Linked DNA regions of Anolis sagrei. Each later gene encodes a partner of the first gene's protein in a complex. Links are inferred from orthologs where the notes say so. Each region holds a gene or a part of one and is shown on either strand. Other genes may lie near its edges.

Region 1 (8,229 bases):
CCAGCTCTCACCTCCGTAGGTGACTACAGGGAATACCATGGACCTTCGTTGCCAGTGTGATGTCTCTACTCTTCACTCTTTCATTGAGGTTGGCCAACGCTCTCCTCCCAAGAAGGAAACATCTTCTGATTTCCTGGTCCCTATTGATCAACTCACATTTGCATGTTTTCAAACTGCTAAGTTGACAGAAGCTGGGGCTAATAGTGGGTGCTCACCCCACTCCCTGGAATCAAACTGGCAACCTTCCAATTAGCAAGTTCAGCAGCTCAGCGGTTTAACTCGCTGTGCCACCTGGGAATCTAATCATGATCAAAGGAACACTGGAACATTTGAGTTTTGAGGTCTCTGCGAAAGGCGGACAGAGTGGGTGCCAGCCTCATCTCCTGAGGGCTGAGAAGGGCAGTATACACATACAGTACATAAAATGAATAAATCTCCCTGGGGAAGGCATTCCAAACCCAGGGGCCACCACTGAGAAGCCACCCCCCTCTCCTCCCCACCAACTATGTTTGGGACGGTGGTGAAAGGATCTTGGAGAACACACCATACTTCTGAACTAGTTCATAGTCAATGGGGGGTGGGGGATCCCCAAGGGAGGGGTCCCTGGGTGGGGGAGGGGCCGAGGGTGGGGACGCGAGGAAGCCCCCCCCCCCACCAAACGACCTGGAAAGGAAAGGAGGAAAGGAAAAGGGAAGGGATGAAATGAAAGAAGAAAGGAATGGAAGGGGAGGATGGGAAAAAAGACAGGTGGGAGTAGAGGAAGGAAGGAAGGAGAGAGGAAAGAAAGGAAAAAAGAAAGGACGGACGGAGAGAAGTAAGAAAGGGAAGGGAGGAAGGAGAAAGGGAAGGAAGGGAGGAGAGAAGAACGGATGGGAAGAAGGAGAGAAGAAAGAAAGGAAAAAGGAATGGAGGGAGGGAAGAAAGAAAAGAAGGGAGGAAGGAGAGAGGGGAGAAAGGAAAAAGGAAGGAAGGAATGAGAGAAGGGGGAAAAGGAAAGAATGGAAAGGAAAGGAAAGGAAAGGAAGGAAGGAAAGAAGAGGAAGGAAAGGAAGGAGGGAAGCAAGGAAGGAAGGAGAGAGGAAAGAAAGGAGAAAAGAAAGGAAGGAAGGGAGGAAGGAAAGAAAAGAAGGGAGGAAGGAGAGAGGAAAGGAAGGGAAGAAGGAGAGAGGGAAGAAAGGAAAAAGAAAGGAAGGAAGGAAGGAAAGAAAAGAAGGGAGGAAAGAGAGAGGAAAGAAAGGAAAAAAGAAAGGAAGGACAGAGAGAAGTAAGAAAGGAAAGGGAGGAAGGAGAAAGGGAAGGAAGGAAGGAGAGAAGAACGGATGGGAAGAAGGAGAGAAGAAAGAAAGGAAAAAGGAAGGGAGGGAGGGAGGAAAGAAAAGAAGGGAGGAAGGAGAGAGGGAAAAAAGGAAAAAGGAAGGAAGGAATGAGAGAAGGGGGAAAAGGAAAGAATGGAAAGGAAAGGAAAGGAAAGGAAAGGAAAGGAAAGGAAAGGAAAGGAAAGGAAGGAAGGAAGGAAGGAAGGAAAGAAGAGGAAGGAAAGGAAGGAGAGAAGCAAGGAAGGAAGGAGAGAGGAAAGAAAGGAGAAAAGAAAGGAAGGGAGGGAGGAAGGAAAGAAAAGAAGGGAGGAAGGAGAGAGGAAAGGAAGGGAAGAAGGAGAGAGGGAAGAAAGGAAAAAGAAAGGAAGGAAGGAAAGAAAAGAAGGGAGGAAGGAGAGAGGAAAGAAAGGAAAAAAGAAAGGAAGGAATGAGAGAAGGGGAAAAAGGAAAGAATGGAAAGGAAAGGAAAGGAAGGACGGAAGGAAAGAAAGAAAGAAAGAAGATCAAGGAAAGGAAGGAAAGGAAGAAAGAAAGCCAGTGGGATTTTGGCCTGCATCAAGAGGAGCCTAGTGTCTAGATCCAGGGAAGAACTTCCTGACTGTGAGAGCCGTTCAGCAGTGGAACTCTCTGCCCCGGAATGTGGTGGAGGCTCCTTCTTTGGAAGCTTTTAAACAGAGGCTGGATGGCCATTTGTCAGGGGTGATTTGAATGCAATATTCCTGCTTCTTGGCAGAATGGGGTTGGACTGGATGGCCCATGAGGTCTCTTCCAACTCTTTGATTCTATGATTCTATGATTCTATGCTCCCCATGCTCTATTCTGCTTTGGTTAGACCACATCTGGAATATTGTGTCCAATTCTGGGCACCACAATTCAAGAGAGATATTGACTCTAAGCTGGAATGTGTCCAGAGGAGGGCGGCTAAAATGATCAAGGGTCTGGAGAACAAGCCCTATGAGGAGCGGCTTAAGGAGCTGGGCATGTTTAGCCTGAAGAAGAGAAGGCTGAGAGGGGATATGATGAGGGCCATGTATAAATATGTGAGAGGAAGCCACAGGGAGGAGGAGGGAGCAGGCTTGTTTCCTGCTTCCCTGGAGACTAGGACGCAATGGAAGAATGGCTTCAAACTCCAAGAGAGGAGATTCCACCTGAACATTTGGAAGAACTTCCTGACTGTGAGCGCCGTTCAGCAGTGGAACTCTCTGCTCCGGAGTGTGGTGGAGGCTCCTTCTTTGGAAGCTTTGAAGCAGAGGCTGGATGGCCATCTGTCAGGGGTGATTTGAATGCAACATTCCTGCTTCTTGGCAGAATGGGGCTGGACTGGATGGCCCAGGAGGTCTCTCCCAACTCTTTGATTCTAGGATTCTATGATTCTAAGAAGGAAGGGAAGGAAAGAAAGCGCAGTTCCACCCCCTTTCCCCCCAGAAGCCCCCATTTCGGGCAGAGAGGGACCCTCTCCTCCTCCCCGGGACTCAGAAAGGGAGGAGTAGAGAAAAGAAGGGAAAGAAGGGAGGGAGGGAAATAAAAGCGAGAAAGAAAGAAAGAAAGAAAGAAAGAAAGAAAGAAAGAAAGGAAAGCCCCGACCTGTGCCCCCCCCCCCTTTTCTTGGTGTCCGAAGCGAAAGCGAAACTCACGGCGCGTCCGAGGTGGGTGGCGAGGAGGGCCCAGGTCAGCGCCCACGAGGAGAAGAAGCGCCCTGGCCGGAGCCCCGCTGACCTCCAGCCAGACCCCATGCCCACCCTCTTCCTTCTGCAAGAGGAGGGCCGGAGCGCTGCCCTTAAGAGCCCCCCGGGAAGAAGAAAGAGGAGGAGGAGGAGGAGACAGAAGAGGCGCCACGCCCCCTGCCCCGCCCCGCCCCCTCCCCTCCGCCCAATGCCGCCCCGCCGGGGAATCCCCCCCTGCCTCTGAGCATGGGCAGAGCGCCCCCCCCCCCACTGGCCCTCCCCATCGCCTCCGGGGTTTCCCTTCCAGAGCATTCCCGGCCAAACAGGACCAGGAAGATCCCCATAATTGGGTTTTTGTAGAAATTTACGGGCTGTCTGGCCATGTTCTAGAAGCATTCTCTCCTGACGTTTCGCCTGCATCTAGGGCAAGCATCCTCAGAGGTTGGGAGGTCTCAAAACCTCCTAGGATGCCTGCCACAGATGCAGGCGAAACACCAGGAGAGAATGCTTCTAGAACATGGCCAGACAGCCCGAAAAAACCTACCACAACCCAATAATTCCGGCTATGAAAGCCTTTGACAGTAGAGTTCAGAATGCTTTTTGATTGTATGTGAACTATACATCCCAGCAATGACAACTCCCAAATGTCAAGGTTTATTTTCACCAAACTCCACCAGTGTTCACATTAGGGTATATTGATTATCCATGCCAAGTTTGGTCCAGATCTATCATTGTTTGAGTCCACAGAGCTCTCTGGATGTAGGTGAACTGCAACTCCCAAACTCAAGGTCAATGCCCACCAAACTCTTCCAGTACTTTCTGTTGGTCTCAGGAGATTTGTGTGCCAAGTTTGGTCCAATTCCATTGTTAGTGGAATTCAGAATGCTCTTTGATTGCAGGTGAACTATAAATCCCAGCAACTACAACTCCTAAATGTCAAGGTCTATTTCCCCCAAACTCCACCAGTGTTCACATTTGGGCATATTGATTATCCATGCCAAATTTGGTCCAGATCTGTCAGTGCTCTCTGGATGTAGGTGAACTACAACTCCAAGCAAACTCTGTGCCAAGTTTGGTCCAGATCCAGCATTGTTTGAGTCCACAGTGCTCTCTGGATATAGGTGAACTACAACTCCCAAACTCAAGGCCAATGCCCACCAAACCCTTCTAGTACTTTCTGTTGGTGTCAGGAGTTTTGTGTGCCAAGTTTGGTCCAATTCCATCGTTGGTGGAGTTCAGAATGCTCTTTGTTTACAGGTGAACTATAAATCCCAGCAACTACAACTCCCAAGTGACAAAATCAACTATCCCCCAACGCCACCAGCATTCAAATGTAGGCGTATAAGATATTTGTGCCAAATTTGGTCCAGTGCATGATAATACCTCTTGCATGTCAGATATTGACATGACGATTCTTAAGAGTGGCAAAATGACAGTGATGAAGTTGCAACGAAAACAATCTTCTGGTTGTGGGTCAACACAACATGAGGAACTGTATTAAGGGGTCGCGGCATTAGGAAGGGTGAGAGCCACTGCTTTAGAGCCTAGGATGCCTTTATGAGTATGTACGATTCAAATAGAAGACTGTGACTCCTTAAAGAAAAGATATTATCGGAGAAATGATCATGGAACACAAATAGCTGGAAAACAGCACACTGTTTGCAACAAATACTTATGCGCATAGAATCCTAGAATCAAAGAGTTGGAAGAGACCTCCTGGGCCACCATCCAGTCCAACCCCATTCTGCCAAGAAGCAGGAATATTGCATTCAAATCACCCCTGACAGATGGCCATCCAGCCTCTGCTTAAAAGCTTCCAAAGAAGGAGCCTCCACCACACTCCCTCCGGGGCAGAGAGTTCCACTGCTGAACGGCTCTCACAGTCAGGAAGTTCTTCCTCATGTTCAGGTGGAAACATTCAGTTCAGTTTCCCTTCCGCATTCCAGCTTGTCAACTCTCACATATTTATACATGGCTATCATATCTCCTCTCAGCCTTCTCTTCTCCTTAAGCCCAGCTCCTTAAGCCGCTCCTCATAGGGCTTGTTCTACAGACCCTTGATCATTTTAATCACCCTCCTCTGGACTCATTCCAGATTGTCAACTCTCACATATTTATACATGGCTATCATATCTCCTCTCAGCCTTCTCTTCTTCAGGCTAAACATGCCCAGCTCCTTAAGCCGCTCCTCATAGGGCTTGTTCTACAGACCCTTGATCATTTTAATCACCCTCCTCTGGACACATTCCAGCTTGTCAACTCTCACATCTTGATCCATGGCCCTCATCATGTCTCCTCTCAGCCTTCTCTTCTTCAGGCTAAACATGCCCAGTTCCCTAAGCCGCTCCTCATAGGGCTTGTTCTCCAGACTCTTGATCATGGTAGTCGCCCTCTTCCTCTGGACACATTCCAGCTTGTCAATCTCTCTCTTGAATTGTGGTGCCCAGAATTGGACACAATATTCCAGGTAAAGTGGTCTAACCAAGGCGGAATAGAGCATGGGCAGCATGACTTCCTTAGATCTAGACTCTATGCTCCAATTGATGCAGGCCCAAATCCCATTGGCTTTTTTTGCCGCCACATCACATTGTTGGCTCATGGCTCATGCATGTCTGTTGCAATGTTTTGTAAAGACCCACAGGGAACTCCACGGCAGGAAAAGTCCTCCGGAAAACCCAAGGAGGGGTCTTCCTTCCTTGCTTCCTTCCTTGCTTATGCAGCCTTGTCTCCCTGGGGTTTCCTGCTGACTTTTCTTGCCTTCCCGTCCAGTTTCCCTTCCGCAGAAAGTAGAGAGAGACGCTCCTTCCCTGCCTCTTCTGGGTCAATCCCTGTCCATGGTCCTAGCACCCTAGACTTGGAGGAAAAAACCCCAAAGGCCATCCAGCCCAGCCCCAACCTGCCAGGAAAAGCACCATCCAAGCCCTCCCAATAGAGCAGTGGTCCTCAACCTTCTTAATGCCGCGACCCCTTAATACAGTTCCTCATGTTGTGGTGACCCACAACCATAACATTATTTTTGTTGCTACTTCATAACTGGAATTTTGCTACTGTTATGAATCATCACATAAATATCTCATATGCATGATGTACTTTCATTCATTGGACCCAAATTTTGCACAAAAACCCAATATGTCCAAATTTGAATACTGGTGGGATTGGGCAGGCGGATTGATTTTGTCATTTGGGAGTCGTAGTTGCTGGGATTTATAGTTCACCTACAATCAAAGAGCATTCCGAACTCCACCAACAGTGAAATTGAACCAAACTTGGCACACAGAACTCTCATGGCCAACAAAAAATACTGGAAGGGTTTGGTGGGCATTGACCTTGAGTTTGGGAGTTGTAGTTCACCTACATCCAGAGAGCACTGTGGACTCAAACAATGATCAATCTGGACCAAACTTGGCACAAATACTCAATATGCCCAAATGTGAACACTGGTGGATTTTGGGGGAAATAGACCTTGACATTTGGGAGTTGTAGTTGCTGGGATTTTTGAGTTCACCTAAAATCAGAGCATTCTGAGACCCACCAGCGATAGAATTGGGCCAATATTTCCACACAGAGCTCCCATGACCAACAGAAAATACTGTGTTTCCTGATGGTCTTTGGCGACCCCTCTGACAACCCCTCGCGACCCCGCCAGGGGTCTCGACCCCCAGGTTGAGAAACGCTGCAATAGAGAGCCATCCAGTCTTCAAGGGTCAGACCCCAGAGGGTCACTCTAGTATCCTGACCCTCTCCTCTTCATATTATCCCGATGTTGGAAATCACACACACAGCCCAGTCGCAACGTTCATATAATGTCATCCTCACTCCCCCCCCCCCCCCCCAAAATGTGTTTGAACTCATTTTTAGATAAGAAAGAGGAACTGACCCTGCAGTCACTTGCAGTTTCGTAGAAACCGCTTCTCAAGACCTGCCGAGGAGGGGGTGGGAATGAATGGCGTAGAAAGGACAAGCAACTCCAACCCCCCAAAGATCTGGCTGCACCAACCCCATGGTATGAGGGAGCAAGCTTGTTTTCTGCTTCCTTGGAGACTAGGACGCATTGGAGCAATGGCTTCAAACTCCAACAGAGGAGATTCCATCTGAACATGAGGAAGAGCTTCCAGACTGTGAGAGCCGTTCAGCAGTGGAACTCTCTGCCTTCCCCGGAGTGGGTGGAGGCTCCTTCTTTGGAAGCTTTGAAGCAGAGGCTGGATGGCCATCTGTTGGGGGTGTTCTGAATGCAATGTTCCTACTCCTTGGCAGAATGGGGTTGGACTGGATGGCCCAGGAGGTCTCTTCCAACTCTTTGATTCTAGGATTCTAGGATTCTATCCCCTGCCCCATCATTGGCTTCCGCTCCCCATAGAATCATAGAATCCTAGAATCAAAGAGTTGGAAGAGACCTCATGGGCCATCCAGTCCAACCCCATTCTGCCAAGAAGCAGGAATATTGCATTCAAATCACTCCTGATAGATGGCCATCCAGCCTCTGCTTAAAAGCTTTCAAAAAAGGAGCCTCCACCACACTCCCTCTGGGGCAGAGAGTTCCACTGCTGAACGGCTCTCACAGTCAGGAAGTTCTTCCTAATGTTCAGATGGAATCTCCTCTCTTGTAGTTTGAAGCCATTGTTCCGCGTCCTAGTCTCCTAGGAAGCAGAAAACAAGCCTGCTCCCTTCTTCTCCCTGTGGCTTCCTCTCACATATTTATACATGGCTCTAATCATATCTCCTCTCAGCCTTCTCTTCTTCAGGTTAAACATGCCCAGCTCCTTAAGCCGCTCCTCATAGGGCTTGTTCTCCAGACCCTTGATCTGCTCCCTCCTCCCTGTGGCTTCTTCTCACATATTGATCCATGGCTATCATATCTCCTCTCAGCCTTCTCTTCTTCAGTCTAAACATGCCCAGCTCCTTAAGCCGCTCCTCATAGGGCTTGTTCTCCAGACCCTTGATCATTTTAGTCGCCCTCCTCTGGACACATTCCAGCTTGTCAATATCTCCCAGTTGAATTCTGCTAGGAAAATATTTATTTATTTATCTATTTATTTACTACATTTGTATACCACCTTTCTCAGTTTATGGGCGACTCATACCAAAGGCTCGGTTGCCACCTTGGGGTTGTGTGATTCTACTCTAGTTCAGGCACGGGCAAACTTCGGCCTTCTCTCCAGGTATTTTGGACTCCAACTCCCACCATTCCTCACAGCCTCAGGCCCTTTCCTTTCCCTTTTATGATTCCTTTTCTGCTTAAGCAGCTGAGG
Region 2 (7,436 bases), on another chromosome or scaffold:
ACAAGGGACACAATGTTGCTATATCATGGAACTTAACCATCTATAGATATAGATACGTTATGGAAACAAATCCAGCGGAGAACAAGGGCTCACTTTATCTTCCCCAAGAAGCAAAGGGCATTAGAATCAGAGCATCAAAGAGTGGGAAGAGACCTCATGGGCCATCCAGTCCAACCCCATTCTGCCAAGAAGCAGGAATATTGCATTCAAATCACCCCTGACAGATGGCCATCCAGCCTCTGTTTAAAAGCTTCCAAAGAAGGAGCCTCCACCACACTCCGGGGCAGAGAGTTCCACTGCTGAACGGCTCTCACAGTCAGGAAGTTCTTCCTCATGTTCAGATGGAATCTCCTCTCTTGTAGTTTGAAGCCATTGTTCCGCGTCCTAGTCTCCAAGGAAGCAGAAAACAAGCTTGCTCCCTCCTCCCTGTGGCTTCCTCTCACATATTTATACATGGCTATCATATCTCCTCTCAGCCTTCTCTTTTTCAGGCTAAAAATGCCCAGTTCCTTAAGCTGGTCCTCATAGGGCTTGTTCTCCAGACCCTTGATCATTTTAGTCGCCCTCCTTGATCATTTTAGTCGCATTGTCTCAAACTGAGTCAGACCCTTGGCCCATCTATCTCTGAAGCTTCAGCTCCACCAACCTCTAGGAAAGAATAGTTCCCAAAACTCTGGAAAGTTCCCTGATGGTCTGCCATCCATTGGTTAACATCCAAAATTGGGCAAAGTTGGCGTGTTTAGGATGACATCGCGTCATGGAAGATGCTGTTCCATTAGCAATTTCAGCTTCCGTATCTAGAACGGCCTTGGCTGAGGCAGCCAAACCCAGTGAGTTGGCACTCAAACATGAGCTAGGGAATAGCTAGGGGAAAGACCCAGAGCTTTCAATATTTCACAGATGGAAAAACAGACAAAGCAAGATCAGAAAGTGGCCAAGTTAGGGAAGGTTATTAAGAAAGAAGAACACAAGATCAAGAGAATCTAAGTGGTGAGTAGAACCTCCAAAGGTCTCCATCCAACTTCAGATGGTAAGCCGAAGATGGCGTCCAACCCATGCAAATGTGGTTCCTTTTGGATCCTCTCCTGACCAAGCAACCAATGACACCCAAATGTTTGAAGAGTTTAGGTTCTCTAAAGATCTTTATCTGAGCTTGGATGGTTAACTAAAAATGATCAGAATTTAGTTCCTTTTGGATCCTGTCCTGATAGAACAACCAACGCAATCGAAACATTTTAAGCTCTGGCCGCTCTAAATGAGTTCAAGTCCCCAGGGCCAGATCAACTACACCCAAGAGTATTGAAGGAACTAGCGGAAGTCATTTCGGAACCATCTTTGAGAGTTCTTGGAGAACAGGAGAAGTTCCAGCAGATTGGAGGAGGGCCAATGTGGTCCCAATCTTCAAGAAGGGAAAAAAGGATGACCCAAACAATTACTGTCCGGTCAGCCTCACATCGACACCAGGCAAGATTCTGGGAAATATTGTTAAGGAAGTGGTCTGCAAACACTTAGAAACAAATGCGGTCATCGCTAATAATCAACATGGATTTATCAAAAACAAGTCATGCCAGACTAATCTGATCTCTTTTTTCAATAGAGTTACAAGATGGGTAGATGCGGGGAATGCCGTGGATGGAGCGTACCTGGATTTCAGTAAGGCTTTCGACAAGGTCCCCCATGACCTTCTGGCAAGGAAACTAGTCCAATGTGGGCAAGGCAAAACTATGGTGAGGTGGATCTGTAATTGGTTAAGTGGACGAACCCAGAGGATGATTCTCCCCAAGGCTTCCTCTTCGTCCTGGAAAGAAGTGACGAGCGGAGTGCCATCAGCAGGGTTCCGTCCTGGTCCCGGTCCTCTTCAACATCTTTATTAATGACTTAGATGAAGGGTTAGAAGGCAGGATCATCAAGTTTGCAGACGACACCAAATTGGGAGGGAGAGCCAATACTCCAGAGGACAGGAGCAGGATTCAAAATGATCTTGACAGATTAGAGAGATGATTGGCCAAAACTAACAAAATGAAGTTCAACAGTCACAAATGCAAGATACTCCACTTTGGCAGGAAAAACGAAATGCAAAGAAACAGAATGGGGGACAATGCCTGGCTTGAGAGCAGTACTTGTGAAAAAGATCTTGGCGTCTTCGTGGACAACAAGTTAAACATGAGCCAACAATGTGATGTGGCGGCAAAGAAAAAAGCAATGGGATTTTGGCCTGCATCAATAGGAGCCTAGTGTCTAGATCTAGGGAAGTAATGCTACCCCTCTATTCCGCTTTGGTTAGACCACATCTGGAATATTGTGTCAAATTCTGGGCACCACAGTTCAAGAGAGATATTGACAAGCTGGAATGTGTCCAGAGGAGGGCGACTAAAATGATCAAGGGTCTGGAGAACAAGCCCTATGAGGAGCGGCTTAAGGAGCTGGGCATGTTTAGCCTGAAGAAGGCTGAGAGGAGACATGATAGCCATGTATAAATATGTGAGAGGAAGTCACAGGGAGGAGGGAGCAAGCTTGTTTTCTGCTTCCCTGGAGACTAGGACGCAATGGAACAATGACTTCAAACTACAAGAAAGGAGATTCCATCTGAACATGAGGAAGAACTTCCTGACTGTGAGAGCTGTTCAGCAGTGGAACTCTCTGCCCCGAAGTGTGGTGGAAGCTTTTAAACAGAGGCTGGATGGCCATCTGTCAGGGGTGCTTTGAATGCAATATTCCTGCTTCTTGGCAGGATGGACCATGAGGTCTCTTCCAACTCTTTGAATCTATGATTCTAGGACCTCTAAAGATCTCCTTTTGTCCTTGGATGGTAAGCCAAAGATGGCGCCCACCCATGAAAATGTGGTTACTCTCGGAGCCTGTCCTGGCAACTCCATCTGCTGAGTTCAGCCTTACCTTGTCCAACTTCATGTGCAGATACAAGCCAAACATGGCGGTCCCGACCAGCTGCGCGATCACAAATGCGGTGATGAGGCCCAGGAAGGCCTTCATGGTGACGGTTGAGCCGGAGGACCTGGGGCTAGGAGGGGAGTACGCGTCTCCAGCTTCCATACGTCTGGTGCCTTCCAAAGCCTTGGCTGTGTGAGGAACATCAAGGCTGCCTTGGTTCTTAGGCACTGCGCAAGGCAATGAGAAAGGTAGCACATCATTGTGCCTGCCCACAACTTCCTGGGGAACAATCGCATCTTCCATTGTGGGGAGATGTGTTCACAGTCTTCTCCCACAACAACAGCAAAAACAAATAGCTATTTCAACTCGGTATTTGAGGCTCACGTCAATTGCGACCCGAAAAAAAGTGTGTGTGCTGCTCTTTCATTAGTTCATCCTATCTTCTCTACTACCATTCTTTCCTCTACTTAGTCTCTTTTCCCATGATCTCCATCTGTGATCATAAGAAAAGAGAGTAAGATCAGATGGAGACCGCTGCTAAGAGAAGGTTGATGCAACCTGACCCATCTAAAACACAGACATGTGCTTTTCATCTCAAGAACAGACAAGCATCCCAAGCTCTGAGGATTACCTGGGAAGGAATCCCACTGGAGCATTGCAGTGCAATGGGAGTCACTCTGGACCGTGCTCTGACCTACAAGAAGCACTGCCTGAACATCAAGCAAAAAGTGGGCGCTAGAAACAATATCACATGAAAGCTGAATGGCACAACCTGGGGATCACAACCAGACACACTGAAGACATCTGCCCTTGCGCTATGCTACTCTGCTGCTAGGTATGCATGCCCAGTGTGGAACACATCTCACCACGCTAAAACAGTGGATGTGGCTCTTAATGAGACATGCTGCATTATCACAGGGTGTCTGCGCACAACACTACTGGAGAAATTACACTGCTTAGCCGATATTGCACCACCTGAAATCCGCCAGGAAGTAGCAGCCAATAGTGAAAGGACCAAGGCAGTGACATCTCCAGCTCATCCCCTGTTTGGGTATCAGCCAGCACGTCACAACTTAAATCTAAAAATAGTTTTCTAAGATCTACAGAGACACTTGCTGGAACACCCCAGCAAGCGAGAGTCCAAAAGTGGCAGGCTCAAACCCAGAATCTTAATCAATGACTGTGTCCCAAATTTGGTTTAGTGAATGAAAATACATCCTGAATATCAGATATTTACATTGCAATTCACAACAGTAGCAAACTTACAGTTATGAAGTAGCAATGAAAATAATGTTATGGTTGGGAGTCATCACAACATGAGGAACTATACTAAGGGGTCGCGGCATTAGAAAGGTTGAGAACCACTGATCTAGAGACACTCGCTGGAACACCTCAGCAAGTGAGAGTCCAAAAGTGGCAGGCTCAAACCCAGAATCTCAATCAATGGCTGATACCAAATGAGAGACTCCCCCCTGGGCACACAGAAAACTGGGCGACTTGGAAGGCGCTGAACAGACTGCGCTCTGGCACCACGAGATGCAGAGCCAACCTTCAGAAATGGGGCTACAAAGTGGAATCCACGACATGCGAGTGCGGAGAAGAGCAAACTATAGAGCACTTGCTACAATGCACCCTGAGCCCTGCCACATGCACATTGGAGGACCTCCTTGCGGCAACACCAGAGGCATTCCAGGTGGCCTGATACTGGTCAAAGGACATGTAATCAATTACCAAGCTTGCAAATTTTGTGTTTTGTCTGTTTGTTTGTTTTGTTCTGTTAGAAATGTAATACAATTGACTGGTTGCCCTGACACGACAAATAAATACCTGACTGTAAGAATGAAGTTGGCGGCAGAAGCACCCATAGACTTTAGCACACTAACCCACTATGTGTATAAAATTGGGAACATTCAATATCACACGCTGTTTCCTTAGCACAGCCCCCGGTGGCGCAGTGGATTAAAGCACTGAGCTGCTGAGCTTGTTGATCGAAAGGTTGCAGGTTCGATTCCGGGGAGGGGTGTGAGCTTCCGCTGTCAGCCCCAGCTTCTGCCAACCTAGCAGTTCGAAAACATGCAAATGTGAGTAGATCAATAGGTACTGCTCCGGCGGGAAGGTAACGGCGCTCCATGCAGTCATGCCGACCACATGACCTTGGAGGTGTCTACGGACAACGCCGACTCTTTGGCTTAGAAATGGAGATGAGCACCACACCCCAGAGTCAGACATGACTGGACTTAATGTCAGGGGACTACCTTTACCTTTTTTTCCCTTAGCATAGTGGTTCTCAACCTTCCTAATGCTGTGACTCCTTAATACAGTCCCCCATGTCATGGTGACCCCCAACTGTAAAATTATTTTCATTGCTATATACCGCCCTTCTCAGCCCAGAGGCGATGCAGAGCAGTAATTTTGCTAATATAAATATCTGATATGCAGGACGTATTTTCATTCATTGGACCAAACTTGGCACAAAACCCCGATATGCCCAAATTTGAATACTGGTGGGGTTGCGGGGATTGATTTTGTCATTTGGGAGTTGTAGTTGCTGGGATTTATAGTTAATGTACATTCAAAGAGCATTTGGAACTCCACCAATGATGGAATTGAACCAAACTTGGCACACAGAACTCCCATGACCAACAGTGAGCTAACAGCTGGGAGGAGGCTCAGTCCCCCCCCCCCGAGCGCCTGGGCCAATCACAGGGCTTCTGCAGTGCGCCAGAGCCAATCAGGAGGCTTCTGCCGCCTAGGTGCTCCAGCGAATCAGGAGGGAGGGAGGCGGGACAAGGGAATACAATGCATTCTTGAGTGGATTATGGTATCAGGAAATGTCGAGGGGCTTGGCGAGTCCTAAAATGGCCTACAAGCAAAGCTAGACTATTGTGTTGTGATTGACACATTGATTTTGACAATATCACTTAATCCGGGTTTTCCTCTTATGATAAGGCAGGGGTACAATGGGGGAGACTAGAGGTGAATGTCTTCAATGGGATGGGCTTGAATGGAAACAGGTCAGGAGGGAGGAACTTTCCAAAGGCTCTCCCTTATCCTATTGTAAAATTCTGCCAAGCAATCATCTCCCTGATGGCCAAATCCTCTGAAGTCAGGGAGATGTTTCTTTGTTATGGTCCATGCAAGGAATGTTCTTAGATAAGAGTTTCTACAATCGCTAAATGCTTTCTTTCCCAGGGCAAAGCGACTTCCTTACACATTTTTCTCAAAGAGATGGGAATGGGGCAAAAGGGTCAGGAAAAGGTCAGATACATGAGGGGAAATATAGAAATACAGAAATCATACTAAAAGTCATATCCATGCAAATCCTGCAAATCTCTTGGGAAGACAAGTGGACAAACAGCGTGCTGGAAGAAGCAAAGACCACCAGCATTGAAGCGATGGTCCTCCGCCATCAACTCTGCTGGGAAGACAGGTGGACAAACACCAGCATGTTGGAAGAAGCAAAGACCACCAGCATTGAAGCAATGGTCCGCTGGACCGGCCATGTTGTCCGGATGCCCGACCACCGTCTCCCGAAGCAATTGCTCTACTCCGAACTCAAGAACGGAAAATGGAATGTTGGTGGACAGGAAAAGAGATTGAAAGATGGGCACAAAGCCAACCTTAAAAACTCTGGCATAGACAATGAGAACTGGGAAGCCCTGGCCCTTGAGCGCTCCAGCTGGAGGTCAGCTGTGACCAGCAGTGCTGCAGAATTTGAAGAGGCACGAATGGAGGGCGAAAGGGAGAAGCGTGCCAAGAGGAAGGCGTGCCAAGCCAACCCCGACCGAGACCGCCTTCCACCTGGAAACCAATGCCCTCACTGCGAAAGAAGATTCAGAGCAAGAATAGGGCTCCACAGCCACATACGGACCCACAAGAATATTGGAAGACAATCATCCTCAGAAAACGAGGGATTGCCTAAGTAAGTAAGCAAAACTATAAGTTACTTTCTTTCATGTTCGACCTCAATTGGAGGTTTGTGTTTGGTCTTCTCATAAGACTGACCCTGTCATGGCTTTGAAGTCAACATTTGCTTCTTGAATTAGGAGACAATGACTGAGATCTAGCCTTCCCAAAATCTCCACCAAGCCTTGTGGCACAGCCTTTTTGTTCCCCATTGAATATTAACTCAGTCCTTTCCAACTGAAAACCTCCCTCACAGTAATATAGTGGTCTGGGCTGGAGAATGGAGGAGCCAGTAAGTAGAAGTTGCCCAGAGGTCTACAAAGGTGGCCTCGATCACTGAGTCTTTGGCTTGGAGAACGTTCTTCTTATCAACCGACAGCCTCAAGGGCGGGAAGCCAACGTGCCAGCTTTGAACTGGCTCCTGCTGAGTCAAGCTTGATGGCGTCCAAACGGTGCGCAGCCACAACTGAAGGTTTTTCTACGTAAAGGAGCTGAGGTTTGACACCTTGAAGCAGAGCAACCCATGAGGCACGGCACGGCCTCGTGACGCCACCTGATGAAAGAGCTTCTGGTTTGCTCACAGAGGATTTCTGGTAACCCCTTGCCTGATTATTGTAGATCCCTGACTCAGGGTAGAGCCT

Evidence for each region.
Region 2: the proteins of CD40 (region 1) and CD40LG are in contact, whole or in part, in a crystal structure (PDB 3QD6), measured with the Homo sapiens proteins. The link is inferred for Anolis sagrei from reciprocal best matches to the Homo sapiens genes CD40 and CD40LG. Residues at the interface, in NP_001241.1 of Homo sapiens: Glu64, Ser65, Glu66, His76, Cys77, Gln79, Tyr82, Asp84, Asn86, Leu87, Trp109, Cys119; in NP_000065.1 of Homo sapiens: Ile127, Glu129, Ala130, Lys143, Gly144, Tyr145, Tyr146, Cys178, Pro217, Cys218, Gln220, Ser245, Gln246, Ser248, His249, Gly250, Thr251, Gly252.

The regions. Positions count from the first base shown.
Region 1 is NC_090024.1:248,019,951-248,028,179, forward strand, and holds the start of CD40 (tumor necrosis factor receptor superfamily member 5), read right to left. Parts: upstream 3,110-8,229; 5' UTR 3,050-3,109; coding exon 2,951-3,049; intron 1-2,950.
Region 2 is NC_090030.1:25,054,837-25,062,272, reverse strand, and holds the start of CD40LG (CD40 ligand), read right to left. Parts: upstream 3,193-7,436; coding exon 2,896-3,192; intron 1-2,895. UniProt on the Homo sapiens protein: Cytokine that acts as a ligand to CD40/TNFRSF5. Costimulates T-cell proliferation and cytokine production.